Linked DNA regions of Lonchura striata. The protein of the gene in region 1 interacts with the protein of each later gene in a pairwise test. Links are inferred from orthologs where the notes say so. Each region holds a gene or a part of one and is shown on either strand. Other genes may lie near its edges.

Region 1 (6,996 bases):
ACTAAAAAATCATGAGCAATGAGAAGAAGGCTCAGAAGGAGGTCACAGTAATCAGTTTTCTACCAGCTGAAAATAAATTCCCCCTCCTTGAAAATACAAGAAATGAGCTCTGCTTTAACAGGCTATAGGCAACTTCCACTGTCTCAGAGTAGATTAACAATGGAGAGATGACACAATGTCCACAGACAGCATCAAAGTTGAACAAAATAAAGAAAAGACCACTCTCCAAGGAATCCACTGACAAAAATCAAACTATTTGAGCAGGAAAGGTAAGTCTCAGACACTCCATGCAGATGCCTTTTGGGAAAAACTACCTTTTTCTAGATCAGCATAATGAACAATGCATGAAACCAGGACGTGGCAACAATGTACAAAAGGGAGTTTTATGGTGCAAACATACAAAACAGGCGGATCCCTGAGATGTCATGTTGAAAACACACATAAAATTTAGAAACTTGTAAAAAACTTCAGAACTTGTAGAGAAAGGACGTAAAATGAGAAGCTAGGTGATGACAGCATGGAGATACTAACCTCAAAAACTAAACAAGCAATGTTTCCATTATAATACTTTCCACTTTGAAAATATGTCATTCAAAGTCACAGTGAAGATGCTTTTAAAAACAGAAATTTGAACTGTGGATGAAATAGAGGTGATCAAGGTAGAGAAGTAGAATAAAAAAGAAATATTTGATGATTTGAAACTTCAGGAATCAGAAACTATAAATAATATCTTTAGCTGTTGTCTTCCTCCTTTGCAGCTTGTCAGCCAGCCTAATAAAGTAATAAAAAATGTAATAAAGAATGTAAATAATGTAACAAAGAATGCCTTTTTCAAAAAACATGCTTTTATAACTCAAGTTATATCACCATTAATGCCTAGCTCTCTGGCTAGAAAGGGTGGCATCACCTATAAACATATAACAAACCAAACAGATATGCAAGAAGCTATGTTTGAGGGACAGAAAGGCAGTGGTTTTTTGCCAGCTATACAAATGATGGACAATAAAAAGGTCAAGAGGAAGTTCCTTATTCTTCAAATACTGTATGAGAAACATGAAAGATATTAATGACTATGTTCTTTAGTAAAATATCTGACATAAACCTAAGGTTCATTTTTAATACCAAAGTACAGCAGAAGTATTTTTCACAGTCTGCCAACCAGAGTGCAAGTCAAAATGGTACATGTGTACGAGGTTGTGCATGCAATCACTATTTTTACAAAAATACCTAAAACCCCTTTTAGTATCAGGTGAATTTTTAAAAGTCTATTTTTGGCAAAAGTTATTTTCAGCAATTAAAAAGTTTACACCTTCAAAAATTTTGACATTTCTCTATTTAATTTTTAGGCAGGAAGAAGTCTGTTTCACCTTTCTTGACAATAAATTCTCCTGTAATCTCGTAATTTTCAGGAGCAACTGGAGAACAACTATTAGTTCAATCTTTTGGAAAATATGTCTTTTTCTCACACAGAAACTTTTGCATTGACTGTAGATGTGATGTCTGTAAGATGTGTTTAGCTGAATTCATACTTAGGGACAAATATCCTCTGGCACTATATGAAGCTTTTTCCTCTCACAGAAGCCTTCCTTCATGGCCTGGTGTTTCTCAGAATCAATAAACACCCAGTTAACTGCTGCCAATATTTAATTAGGTCCGTACTAAGTTTCCTGCTTGTTAGCAGGGCTTCCCATTAAGCTTCAGGAAGGAAGCTCTTCCTTGTAAACACAAAGCTCCAAATATACCAAGATCTTCACCTGCTTAGGGTCTATAACAAAAGATAATCTGACGTATGTTTTACACTGAAAAAGTTGGTGTTAGGCTTACTTTATTTCCCCTCTCATTCTTGTAGCAACGCTTCTCTGCATGGCAGGTAAGGAGAGTAAGCCAGCGTTTCCAATAAAACACTCTGTCGCAGAGGTGTTACACAGACAGCACGCTTTGGAAGCAACAGCGGATCAAACGGGGAGAGCAGCTGGTTTTCCCTCAATCCGTGAACGCCTCCAGCGTGACACGGACGCCGCTCTCCTGCGGTACGGGATCTGGAGCGCTGCCTGCCCACGGCCGGCGTGACTCAACCCTTCTGGGTGCATCCCCCAGCCGAGCCCCCGGCCGCACGGAGCCGGGACCCGCCGGCACCTGCCCCGTGCCAGCGCCTCCCGGCAGCTCCCACCCGAGCCGCAGGCCCGCCGCACGGCGACCAGCACCGGCAAAGGGATCCGGGCAAGCGAGAAGGGTCTCATAAACGAGTGTCACAACTTGGCTTCCCAAGCCCGGCAGAGCTGCCGGAAAAGCCGGTTCCTAAAACACGGGAGGCGGCCGGACGGCGGCTGCCGGGCTGGCTCTCGGCGTTAAGAGCCTGCTGCCTGCCAGCCCCTGAGGACATCACCGCAGGTCCCGGCGGCGGCTCTCCCCACGCCGGCCTTCCCTTTATCCTGCCCTCTGCGCGGGCGGCCGCAGCCGCGGCAGCGGGAGCAGGCGGCGGGCGGAGATGCCGCCGCGTTACGGAAAAAGCCACGCCGGCCAGGGCCGCCCCTCGCCCCTCCGACAGGCCCGGCCGCGGGAGCCGCCCGCCAGCACCTCCGCCCAGCCCGGGAGGCGACACCGCCCCCAGCCGGGATGGCGGGCCTGGCCCGTCCCGTCCCGTCGGGGCTCGGGCCGTCTCCCAGCGAGAGGGCGGGGGCGGACAAACTCACGGCCTCCGGGGCCGCGACGGCCCTCACCGGACCCTGCGCCGCAGGACGGGCCGGACAGGGCCGGTGGCTCCGGCTCTGCCGCGGGGAGCGCAGCTCCGAGCGCGGCCGGCACCAGGAAGCGACACCGGCACGGCGCCGGCACGGCTCGCCGCCCTCGCCGCTGGGGCGGGCCTCGCTGCCTTACCCGCTGCAGAATCCGCCTGAGCATGGTGGTAGAGCGCGGATGCCGTCGGGCGGCCGCGGCCAGGCCGAAGGGAAGCCGCGGGGCCCCGCAGGAGCCCGGCGCGGCCCTCGCCCCGTGACAGCCGCCGCGGCCGGGGAGGCAGGGCAGCCGCCGCGCTCCGCCCCGGGGAGGGGCGGGTCCCGCGGGAAGGGGCTGCGGCCACCGCCGCCGCCCGGCCGCCGGCAGCGGGGAAGGCAGGGCGGGTAGAGGTGCGGAGCGGGCCGGGGGCTGCGCCCTGATCGCTCCGCGGGGGCCCGGGCCCGGCTCCTCGCCGCAGCGGGCCCAGCGCCGCGGCTCTCGGCCTGTCCCTGCGCTGTGCCGGGTCTCCGCCGCCCCAGACGCGTCCCGGCTGCCGGGGGCAGGGCGGGGAAAGCGGAACGCGGCGCTGTCTGTGCCCTTGGCTCCCCTCGGGGCTGCCCGGGCTCCCGATAGCTGCGGGCCCCGTGCTGCTGGCGTCAGTGTGGCATCGGCCGAGGGAAGGGAGAGGACTGTGGTTTGAGCTTGCAGCTGCGGGCTCGCTGAAGGAGGCAAAGCGCAAATGCAGCGCCGTGTTACTCTGTTACTCGTGCGGCACGGAAAGTACTGAGAAATGTGCGTTCGGGGAGGGTTGTCGAAGCGAACTTGTTACGATTATTAACCTCAAATTTAATTCTGATGAAGCAGCTCCTTGCTTCAAGCCCCCAGCTGAAAAGACGACCTTGTGGTATGACCCATTAGGTGTTTTTTAAATATTAGAAAAGAACATTTTACTCACACAAATACACACATACCTAAAAAAAAAAAAAAAAAAAGTACAACACAAAAAGCATCAGCTGAAAGGAGTGATAAGGAAGTATTTACAAACAAACTGTGGGCCTGATAGTAGATAAGGCCAGGTACAGAGATGTGAAAGAAGCAAGGAGGGGAACCATAAATTCCGTAGGAATTCCACTAATTGACACAGACTTACCCACTCAAGACTGCTAAATCTCTGGATTTAGAGAAAAAAATCAAAGACACAATGAAAAAGAAAAATGGGAGGGGAAATATACATTAGAAGGGGGTCTTACATATTTCTCATCTTATGGAGCCTGTACCTCTCAAGTACCTCGGCCACTGGGGAAAGAGAGAGGGAAAATGCAGCCAGGAAATTAGGATAAAATGGAGCTGCGTCTCCCAAAAAGTTTGAGAGACCCCATGGGGAATGCCCCATAACGTCTCCCTTTATTCAAAAAAGTTAAAGGACTCCTCTGTCTCCTTTTTGGACATAAACCTCTGGTGTTTGTAGATTAATTTTCCTGTCAATTTTAACTGAGAAAGAATCAGTATCTACTGCTGAGGCAAAACCCCACATCAGACGTTGCAGGATAGTTACTGGAATACCTGTACCATCTAGAATATGTAATTCAACAAGTTACTGTTCCCTGTTCTGTCCAAAAGCTGCAATTTTCACATGCTGGATACCAGACAAAGGGTCATGAGTAAATAATAAACTTGGTCAATGACTAATTGTGCTGACTAGAACAAATATCACAGCAGAGCACCAGTTGTAGTGTAAAGATCAAAAACATTTTTCCACCCAGAAGCTGACATTTCTAAGTACTCTAAAATCCTCACACATTATGTGTGTTGAGAGCACATGACCAGAAGAATTTGGTGCTGCAGCTGGAGGCTTCAAGCATAGCAGCATTATGTGACTGGATGCAGTTTGGTCCATCTACAGGTTCCAGTGTGTTTCATCTTAATGTCATTGGATCCACAACTGAGGCCCATTAAGAGCACACACACTTGGTAATGGCTTCAGTTGATAAGCGATGATTTTGGTCATACCCATGACATAATTTTCATCTGTCCATAGTACAAAATGGCTTTGAAATTTGGCAGGTAGGGTCTTTTGGAATTTTGCACTTCAGATTTATAATGGGAATAAGATTGGTTTTGTACAGATCTTTAAATATTTAGGCAGACCATAGATACTTACTCTGAATCCAAACAGAAATGACTGCAAGTTTTATAGATATTTCAAGAAGAGTGACAGCCTACACAACTAACTGCCAGACTGCTTAATTTGCTAGACCCAAATAACTTGACCAACCCCTTTGTAGAATGTTTTTTACTCTCCTAGGTTAGCAATTCCTGAATGCTCAGAGGAAGATGATAGCAATTTGAGGACACTAGTTAACAGTCTTATATCAGAGGAGGCTTTTCTTAGCAAGACTTGAAGGGAAATACATGATCCTTTCCTTGTGTGGATGCTAGAATACATGCATCTGTCTCCCTGTTCAAGCATGATTCCCTCAGTAACTTGTTAATCTGTGGGCCAATTAATACAACAGAGTCAGATAAGGCTCAAAGATACTAATGTTCTACAAATTTAAATAGGTAGCCAGGGAGAAGATAAACCCTATGGAGTCCTGGCTGTAAGGAAAGACTGCAGTGTGGCTGCTTTTATGTACCAGAGAATGCACATAAAAAATCTCTGCCTTGGGGCAGAGATCTAGAGGAAAAAAAAAAATTAAATCTGTCCCACTTCTAGTGGAAGTCCTTGGTTTTAATTATTGTGTGTATGGTAATATCTGTGAATTCATATCATGTGCTCTCCTAAAATTCAATAGAATTTCCAGCTGTTGGTAAATAGGCTGTATCCTCAGGCATAGGAGTTGTAAATTTTCATTTCATCCAAGTTCATAAACTCTGTTAAGGGTTTGGTGACAAGAGGGCTAGAAGGTGCCTTTCTAAAGAGTCAATTGTTAGTAGAAAGTCTCAGAACAGAATCACAGCAAAGGTTTTTCCAAAACCAGCTGGGAACAGGTATCTTATCCTTTAAACACAAGCTGAAGGTTGAGAGTCTGAACTACAACAAACTCTTGCATATCTGTCAAAGCCAGCATTTTTTTTATTTTTGTACAGAACTGAAATCAGTCTTTTGTACAAGCAGTTTTCAGGATGGCCCAGTGTACACCAGCACTTCTCAGATCTTTCAATAGATAACTGCAGGGTTTTGTTGAGATTCTGGGGAGTTGTTCTTCATTTTTAATGGCTATATATATATATATATATATATATAGAGAGAGAGAGAGAGAGAGAGAGAAAGAGAGAGAGAGAGAGTCAAATGAAATGCTGTCTCGACCATGGATCACAAAAACTGGTGTTCACACAATCTTCTACCCCAACTGAGGGCTACGAGGAACCACTGCCATTTGGTAGAAAATGGCAAGGAACACATGTGGTATATGCATAGTACATATGCTTGCAGATACTTAACAGCCTACAAGTTTCTGGGCTATTTATTGTCCTACATGTTTTCAGTGTTCATACAGATGACTATTTTCAGTCATGTAAAATTGCTGACCTCAAAATCACATGGCCACGAGCTCCTTTGGTTCACGATGTGCTGCACTGTCCCATTTTTCTCAACATGTTATTTCTAAATATCCTATTTATAAAAGGTATCAGTCTCTGGTTTTTCTTTTTCCTAGCTCTTCAGCTGTACACTTTCGACTGTCACTGTGTGCTGTTCCATATACTTCCAGTAAGTAGCTTTCAAATTTACCCACATCTTTTTCTGGAGCCTTCTCCTTTCAAGCCGAGCTCTATGAAACTCGGTTGAACACAGTTGTTTAAATGATACGGTTTAGTTTACATGGCAATATTTGGTCAAAGGTTGGACTTAATGAATTTGCAGGTCTTTACAAACCTCAATGACTCTATGAAAGGTGTATGACAAAATTTGGAAGATTTATGAAGTGCAGATTTGGGCAAAAATATGTTTTCAGCTGAAGGCAGGGCTATTTAGCATAGAGTAGTTTTAGACTATGCTTGAACTAATCACCAATGGTTCCTGACGCATTCCCTTCCCACTACAGGGAAAAGTAACAGCTCTCCAATTCTTCACTCATAGTACTGAAGGGGTTGGCCAGAGCACCAGTACTTCCATCTGCATGTATTAGAGAGAGTGTGTTTGCTCAGCTGCTTTAGAACCTGGCTGACTCTGTGGTGAGGTCTCTAACAAAGAGCTGGTGACTCAAGGCTGGTTCCTGTGTGACAGAGAGCCTCTTTCAAGTCAGCGCAATTGCTTGCATGAGTAATGAGTGTGTGTAC
Region 2 (7,390 bases), on another chromosome or scaffold:
ACTCTGGTACCGTGCCCCCGAGATCCTGCTGGGCTGCAAATATTACAGCACGGCCGTGGACATCTGGAGCCTGGGCTGCATCTTCGCCGAGATGGTGGGTGGCACTTGGGGACATTGGGGACATTTGGGGACACTGGGGTGTCACACAGCCTGGCTGCATCTTCGCCGAGATGGTGGGTGGCACTTGGGGACACCGAGGGGGACATTGGGGTCCTCAGGGTGACACGTGGGTCCCCAAACCCCCTTAGGTGACACCGGGGGTGACACTGATGTCCCCAAAGCCTCCCTGTGATGTCCCACTGATGTCCCCAACATCCCTGTGATGTCCCCAAATGTCCCCAATGTCCCCAGATCACGCGCCGTGCCCTGTTCCCGGGGGACTCCGAGATCGACCAGCTGTTTCCCATTGTGTCCCCAATGTCCCATTGATGTCCCCAATGTCCCCAATGTCCCATTGATGTCCCCAGTGTCCTGTTGATGTCCCCAAATGTCCCCAATGTCCCCAGATCACCTGCCATGCCCTGTTCCCTGGTGACTCTGAGATCGACCAGCTGTTCCCATTGTGTCCAATGTCCCAGTGTCCCATTGATGTCCCCAATGTCCCCAACATCCCATTGATGTCCCCAATGTCCCCAATGTCCCATTGATGTCCCCAACATCCCATTGATGTCCCCAACATCCCATTGATGTCCCCAATGTCCCACTGATGTCCCCAATGTCCCCAGATCACGCGCCGTGCCCTGTTCCCGGGCAACTCCGAGATCGACCGGCTGTTCCCATTGTGTCCAATGTCCCAGTGTCCCATTGATGTCCCCAATGTCCCCAACATCCCATTGATGTCCCCAATGTCCCCAGATCACGCGCCGTGCCCTGTTCCCGGGCGACTCCGAGATCGACCAGCTGTTCCCATTGTCCTGATCCCATATCTCCAGTGTCCCATTGATATCCCAGGGATGTCCCCAGTGTCCCATTGGTGTCCCCAATGTCCCGTTGATGTCCCCAGTGTCCCGTTGATGTCCCCAACATCCCGTTGATGTCCCCAATGTCCCGTTGATGTCCCCAACATCCCAGTGATTTCCCCAATGTCCCGTTGATGTCCCCAGTGTCCCGTTGATGTCCCCAACGTCCCATTGATGTCCCCAGTGTCCCGTTGATGTCCCCAACGTCCCGTTGATGTCCCCAATGTCCCATTGATGTCCCCAACGTCCCGTTGATGTCCCCAATGTCCCGTTGATGTCCCCAACGTCCCGTTGATGTCCCCAACATCCCATTGATGTCCCCAACATCCCGTTGATGTCCCCAACATCCCGTTGATGTCCCCAACGTCCCTGTCACCCCCCAGATCACGCGCCGCGCCCTGTTCCCGGGCGACTCCGAGATCGACCAGCTGTTCCGCATTTTCCGCACGCTGGGCACGCCGGACGAGGCCGCCTGGCCGGGGGTGTCGGCGCTGCCCGACTACAAAGCCACCTTCCCCCGCTGGGCGCGCCAGGACCTGGCCAAGGTTTTGCCACCCCTGGACGACGAGGGCCGCAAGCTCCTGGCGGTGAGGCACAATTCCCAATTTCCCCTGGCTTTTCCACAGCTTTTCCTTCATTTTCCCTGATTTTTCTGTGATTTTCCCTGATTTTTCTGTGATTTTTCCTGATTTTCCCACAAGTTTTCCTTAGTTTTCCCCAGTTTTTCCTTAATTTTCCCCCACTTGTTCCCAATTTCCCGATTTTTCCCCAAGTTTTCCTGATTTTCCCCAATTTTTCCTGATTTCCCCCAATTTTTCCTTGATTTTCCCCAATTTTTCCTTGATTTTCCCCACTTTTTCCTGATTTTTCCCCACTTGTTCCCAATTTCCCGATTTTTCCCCAAGTTTTCCTTATTTTCCCCAATTTTTCCTTGATTTCCCCCAATTTTTCCTTGATTTTCCCCAGTTCTTCCTTGATTTTCCCCACTTTTTCCTGATTTTTCCCAACTTGTTCCCAATTTCCTGATTTTTCCCCAAGTTTTCCTGATTTTCCCAAGTTTTCCTTAGTTTTCCCGTTTTTCCTTGATTTTCCCCACTTTTTCCTGATTTTTCCCCACTTGTTCCCCATTTCCCGATTTTCCCCCAAGTTTTCCTGATTTTCCCCAATTTTTCCTTGATTTTCCCCAATTTTTCCTGATTTCCCCCAATTTTTCCTTGATTTTCCCTAATTTATCCTGATTTTTTCCCTGATCTTTCCCATTTTTCCAATTTCCTCCCAATTTTTCCCCAAATTTTCCCTAATTTTTTCCATTTCCCCCAATTTTTCCTTGATTATTTTCCCTTTTCCCTCTTTTTTTTTGCCATTTTCCCCTGATTTCCCTCCCATTTCCCCCCATTTTCCTAATTTCCCCCCATTTTTCCCCATTTCCCCCCCATTTTTCCCCCCATTTTCCCCCATTTCCCTTTTTTCCCCATTTCGTGCCCATTTTCCCAATTTCCCCCATTTTTTCCTGCATTTCCCCCCAATTTCTCTCTGCTTTTTTTCCCTTTTCCCCCATTTCCCCCATTTTTCCCATTTCCCCCCAATTTTCCCGATTTTTCCCCTTTTTTCCCCATTTTTTCCCCAATTTTCCCCTGATTTTTCCCCTTTTTTCCCCATTTTTTCCCCAATTTTCCCCTGATTTTTCCCCTTTTTTCCCCTTCCCCCTCCCTTTTTTCCCCATTTCCCCCATTTTTTCCCCGTTTTTTCCCATTTTCCCCGTTTTTCTCCCCAGCAAATGCTGCATTACGACCCCAACAAGAGAATTTCGGCCAAGGCCGCCCTGGGCCACCCCTTCTTCAGGGACGTCACCAGAGCTGTCCCCCACCTGCGCCTCTGACCCCAAAAATGACCCCAAAATATCCCCAAAACCCCCCAAAATTACCCCAACCCCCCCAAAATATCCCCAAACCCCCAAAATTACCCCAAAACCAAGAAAAACGGCCCCAAATCCTCCAAAAACGACCCCAAAACCGTCCCAAACAGCCCCAAAAACTCCAAAATATCCTCAAAACCATCCCAAAATGGCCCCAAACCCCCCAAAAATGACCCTAAATCCCCCAAAATATCCCCAAACCACAAAACAGCCCCAAAACCCCCAAAATATCCCCAAAACCAGAGAAAGTGGCCCCAAAACCTCCAAAATATCCCCAAAATGAGACAAAACGGCCCCAAATTCCTCAAAAAAGGTCCCAAACTACCAAAATGACCCTAAACCCCCTAAAATATCCCCAAAACCATGCAGAATGGTCCCAAACTAACAAAATGACCCCAAAACCATCCAAAATCCCCCAAAACGACCCCAAAATTCCCCAAATTCCAAGGGCCCCAAAACAGCCCAAAAATGACCCCAAATTTACCCAAAATGTCCCCAAAAGTGCCCAAAATACCCCGAATGTCCCCAAAAGGTCTCTAAAACGTCCCAAATGTCCCCAGAATTCCCCCAAATTCCCCCAAATCCCCCAAATTGTCCCCAAATTGTCCCCAGTGCCATCCCCTCCATGTCCCCTTTGTCCCCTCTTCCCCCCTGCCACAGTTTTTGGGGCCGAATTTTGGTTTTTTTGTGATTTTATGGAAAAAATTTGTAATAAAATTTCTGCGGTTTTTAATCCCGGGAAGGTCAGGGTGGCATCGTCACCTCCCCCCCCCCCCTCCGTCCTGAGACCCCCAAAATGTCCCCAAGTGTCCCCAAAACCCCAAAAATGTCCCCAAATGTCCCCAAATTCCTCCGAAAGTGTCCTGGAAACCCCAAAAATCTTCCCACACCCCAAAAATCTCCCTGAAACCCCTAAAAAATGTCCCCGAACCCCTCAAATGCCCACAAACTCCTCAAGTGTCCCCAAAACCCCAAAAATGTCCCGAAACCCCCAAAAAATGTCCCCAAATGTCTCCCCCTGGCTTTCCCAGGCCACGCCCCCTGGTCTACAAACCACGCCCACTCGCGACCACGCCCACAACACAGTCTGAGCCTCTTGATTGGTCCTTCCAAGCCACGCCCCCTTCGCATGAGCTCTCCACACTGTCAATCAAAGTTAGCACCTCTGATTGGGCGAGGCTTCCTCTCTCCCCGCCTTCTCATTGGGTGATGCAGCCGCGCGGCTCCGCCCCCTCCGGTCACCTTATTTGTTGTCCGCCCCGCCTTTTCTCGCGTTTTTTATTTTTATTGGTTGCCAGCCTTGTCACTCACCGCAAACCCCACCTCCTCACCGCCTTTCCCCTTCCCCACTGGCCAAGCTCTCTCCTCTCCTTATTGGCCGCTGTGCTGTCCATCACCCCTCCCCTCCATCCTATTGGTGCAGCACAGCGGGGTGTCCCCCACCTCTTTTCCCATTGGCGGAGCGCAAAGGCGGGCTCTTCTCCTATTGGTTCATTCCGCTGTTAGTCCCGCCCCTCTCCGTGAGGGGCTTGGCGGAGCCGCTGTTTGTGCGCCGGCAGGGCCCGGAGGTACCGGGGGGCGCCGGGGCCGGCCTCGGGGGGCTCCGAGCGGCTCCGAGCCCCGGGGCGAGCCGCGCTGAGGGCGGGGCGGGAGCCACGGGTGCGGATTTGGGGGGGGGTCGCGGCCATGAGAGGGATCCGGTCCTGAGGGGGCTCCGGGCTTGGGGGGCCCTGAGGGGGCTCCGGGCTTGGGGGGGCTCCGGGCTCTGGTGGGGCTCCAGCCCCTGAGGTGGTCCCAGCCCTGAGGGGGCTCCGGGCTTGGGGGGCTCCGGGCTTGAGGGGGCTTCATGCCCTGAGGGGGTTCCCAGCCCCTATGATCCCGTCCCAGTGGGGTTATCCCAGTGTTCTGATCCTATCCCAGTTGAATTATCCCAGTGGGGTGACCCCATCCCAGTGACCCCATTGCAGTGTGCTGACCCCATCCCAATTGGGTTATCCCAGTTGGGTGACCCCATCCCAGGGACCCCATCCCAGTGGGGTGACCCCATCCCATCCCGGTGCTGTGACCCCATCCCAGGGATCCCATCCCAATGGGGTGACCCCATCCCAGTTGGGTTATCCCATTTGGGTGACCCCATCCCGGTGCTGTGACCCCATCCCAGGGACCCCATTCCAGGGACCCTATCCCAGTGGGGTGACCCCATCCCAGCTGGGTTATCCCATTTGGGTGACCCCATCCCAAGGACCCCTATCCCGGTGCTGTGACCCCGTGCCACCCTCTCTGTGTCCCCAGGATTGCGGTGCCATTGCACCCAGCCCATCCCAGTGTTCCCAGTTTGCTGACCGCATCCCAGCTGGGTTGTCCCAGTTGGGTGACCCCATCCCAGTGACCCCATCCCGGCGCTGTGACCCCGTGCCACCCTCTCTGTGTCCCCAGGACCGCGGTGCCATTGTGCCCAGCCCGGCCATGGCCGCCCGCGGTGCCCAGCGGCCCAACGGGCACTCGCAGCCCAGTAAGATCTGCCAGTTCAAACTGGTGCTGCTGGGAGAGTCGGCTGTGGGCAAGTCCAGCCTGGTGCTGCGCTTCGTCAAGGGCCAGTTCCACGAGTACCAGGAGAGCACCATTGGCGGTGAGCCGGGATCTGGGGATCCCACGGGGATTTGGGGTGTCCTAAAGGAGTCTGGAGCTGTCCTGGGTGGGATTTGGGGTGTCCTAAAGGGGTCTGGGGCTGTCCTGGCTGGGATTTGGGGTGATCCCAGGTGGGATTTGGGGTTCAGAGCTTTGTCAGGGGCCAGTTCCACGAGTACCAGGAGAGCACCATTGGCGGTGAGCCGGGATCTGGGGAGCCCACGGGGATTTGGGGTGTCCTAAAGGGGTCTGGAGCTGTCCTGGCTGGGATTTGGGGTGTCCTAAAGGGGTCTGGGGCTGTCCTGGCTGGGATTTGGGGTGTCCTAAAGGGGTCTGGGGCTGTCCTGGCTGGGATTTGGGGTGTCCTAAAGGGGTCTGGGGCTGTCCTGGCTGGGATTTGGGGTGTCCTAAAGGGGTCTGGAGCTGTCCTGGCTGGGATTTGGGGTGATTCCATGGGGATCTGGGGGTCCCATGGGGATTTGGGGATGGTCAGGGTGGGATTTGGGGTGATCCCAGGTGGGATTTGGGGTTCAGAGCTTTGTCAGGGGCCAGTTCCACGAGTACCAGGAGAGCACCATCGGCGGTGAGCCGGGATCTGGGGATCCCACGGGGATCTGGGGATCCCACAGGAATTTGGGGTGTAGGAAGGGCTCTTTGGAAAGGTTTGGGACACCCTGAGGTGTCCCTGGCTGGGTTGGTGACACTGGTGACACTTTGGTGACACTTTGGTGGCCCTGTCCCTGTCCCCAGCGGCGTTCCTGACGCAGTCCGTGTGCCTGGCCGGGTTTGGGGTGCAGTGAGGTGTCCCTGGCCGGGTTGGTGACACAGTGTTGGCTCTGTGGCTGGGTTGGTGACACTCTGGTGACACTCTGGTGACACTTTGGTGGCCCTGTCCCTGTCCCCAGCGGCGTTCCTGACGCAGTCCGTGTGCCTGGACGACACCACGGTCAAGTTTGAGATCTGGGACACGGCGGGGCAGGAGCGCTACCACAGCCTGGCCCCCATGTACTACCGGGGGGCCCAGGCTGCCATCGTGGTCTACGACATCACCAACCAGGTCTGGGGGCTTTGGGGGGTCCTGAGGGGGATTTGGGGGGGTCCCAAAGGGATTTGAGGGGGTTTTGGGGTGATTTGAGGGGGTTTTGGGGTGATTTGAGGGAGTTTGGGGGGCTCTCAGGTTGTATTACCGGGGGGCCCAGGCTGCCATCGTGGTCTACGACATCACCAACCAGGTCTGGGGGCTTTGGGGGTCTCAGGGGGGATTTGGGGGGCATTTGAGGGGCTTTTGGGGTGATTTGAGGGGCTTTTGGGGTGATTTGAGGGAGTTTGGGGGGTCTCAGGTTGTACTACCGGGGGGCCCAGGCTGCCATCGTGGTCTACGACATCACCAACCAGGTCTGGGGGCTTTGGGGCTCTCAGGGGGGATTTGGGGGGCATTTGAGGGGCTTTTGGGGTGATTTGAGGGGGTTTTGGGGTGATTTGAGCGAGTTTTGGGGTGATTTGAGGGAGTTTGGGGGCTCTCAGGTTGTATTACCGGGGGGCCCAGGCTGCCATCGTGGTCTACGACATCACCGACCAGGTCTGGGGGGCTTTGGGGGGTCCTGAGGGGATTTGGGGGGGATTTGGGGGGGATTTGAGGGGCTTTTGGGGTGATTTGAGGGGGTTTTGGGGTGATTTGAGGGAGTTTGGGGGGTCTCAGGTTGTACTACCGGGGGGCCCAGGCTGCCATCGTGGTCTACGACATCACCAAGCAGGTCTGGGGGGATTTGGGGGGTCCTGAGGGGGATTTGGGGGGGTCCCAAAGGGATTTGAGGGGGATTTGGGGGGGATTTGAGGGGCTTTTGGGATGATTTGAGGGGGTTTTGGGGTGATTTGAGCGAGTTTTGGG

Evidence for each region.
Region 2: the proteins of EEA1 (region 1) and RAB5B interact in binary tests that used the Homo sapiens proteins (3 or more experiments, as listed by UniProt). The link is inferred for Lonchura striata from reciprocal best matches to the Homo sapiens genes EEA1 and RAB5B.

Annotation. Positions count from the first base shown.
Region 1 is NC_134607.1:53,447,668-53,454,663, forward strand, and holds the start of EEA1 (early endosome antigen 1), read right to left. Parts: upstream 3,010-6,996; 5' UTR 2,902-3,009; coding exon 2,878-2,901; intron 1-2,877. UniProt on the Homo sapiens protein: Binds phospholipid vesicles containing phosphatidylinositol 3-phosphate and participates in endosomal trafficking.
Region 2 is NC_134629.1:9,330,540-9,337,929, forward strand, and holds the start of RAB5B (ras-related protein Rab-5B), read left to right. Parts: upstream 1-4,388; 5' UTR 4,389-4,442; intron 4,443-5,310; 5' UTR 5,311-5,340; coding exon 5,341-5,503; intron 5,504-6,407; coding exon 6,408-6,559; intron 6,560-7,390. Other genes in the region: CDK2 (cyclin-dependent kinase 2), read left to right, coding at 1-94, 1,343-1,546, 2,734-2,838. UniProt on the Homo sapiens protein: The small GTPases Rab are key regulators of intracellular membrane trafficking, from the formation of transport vesicles to their fusion with membranes.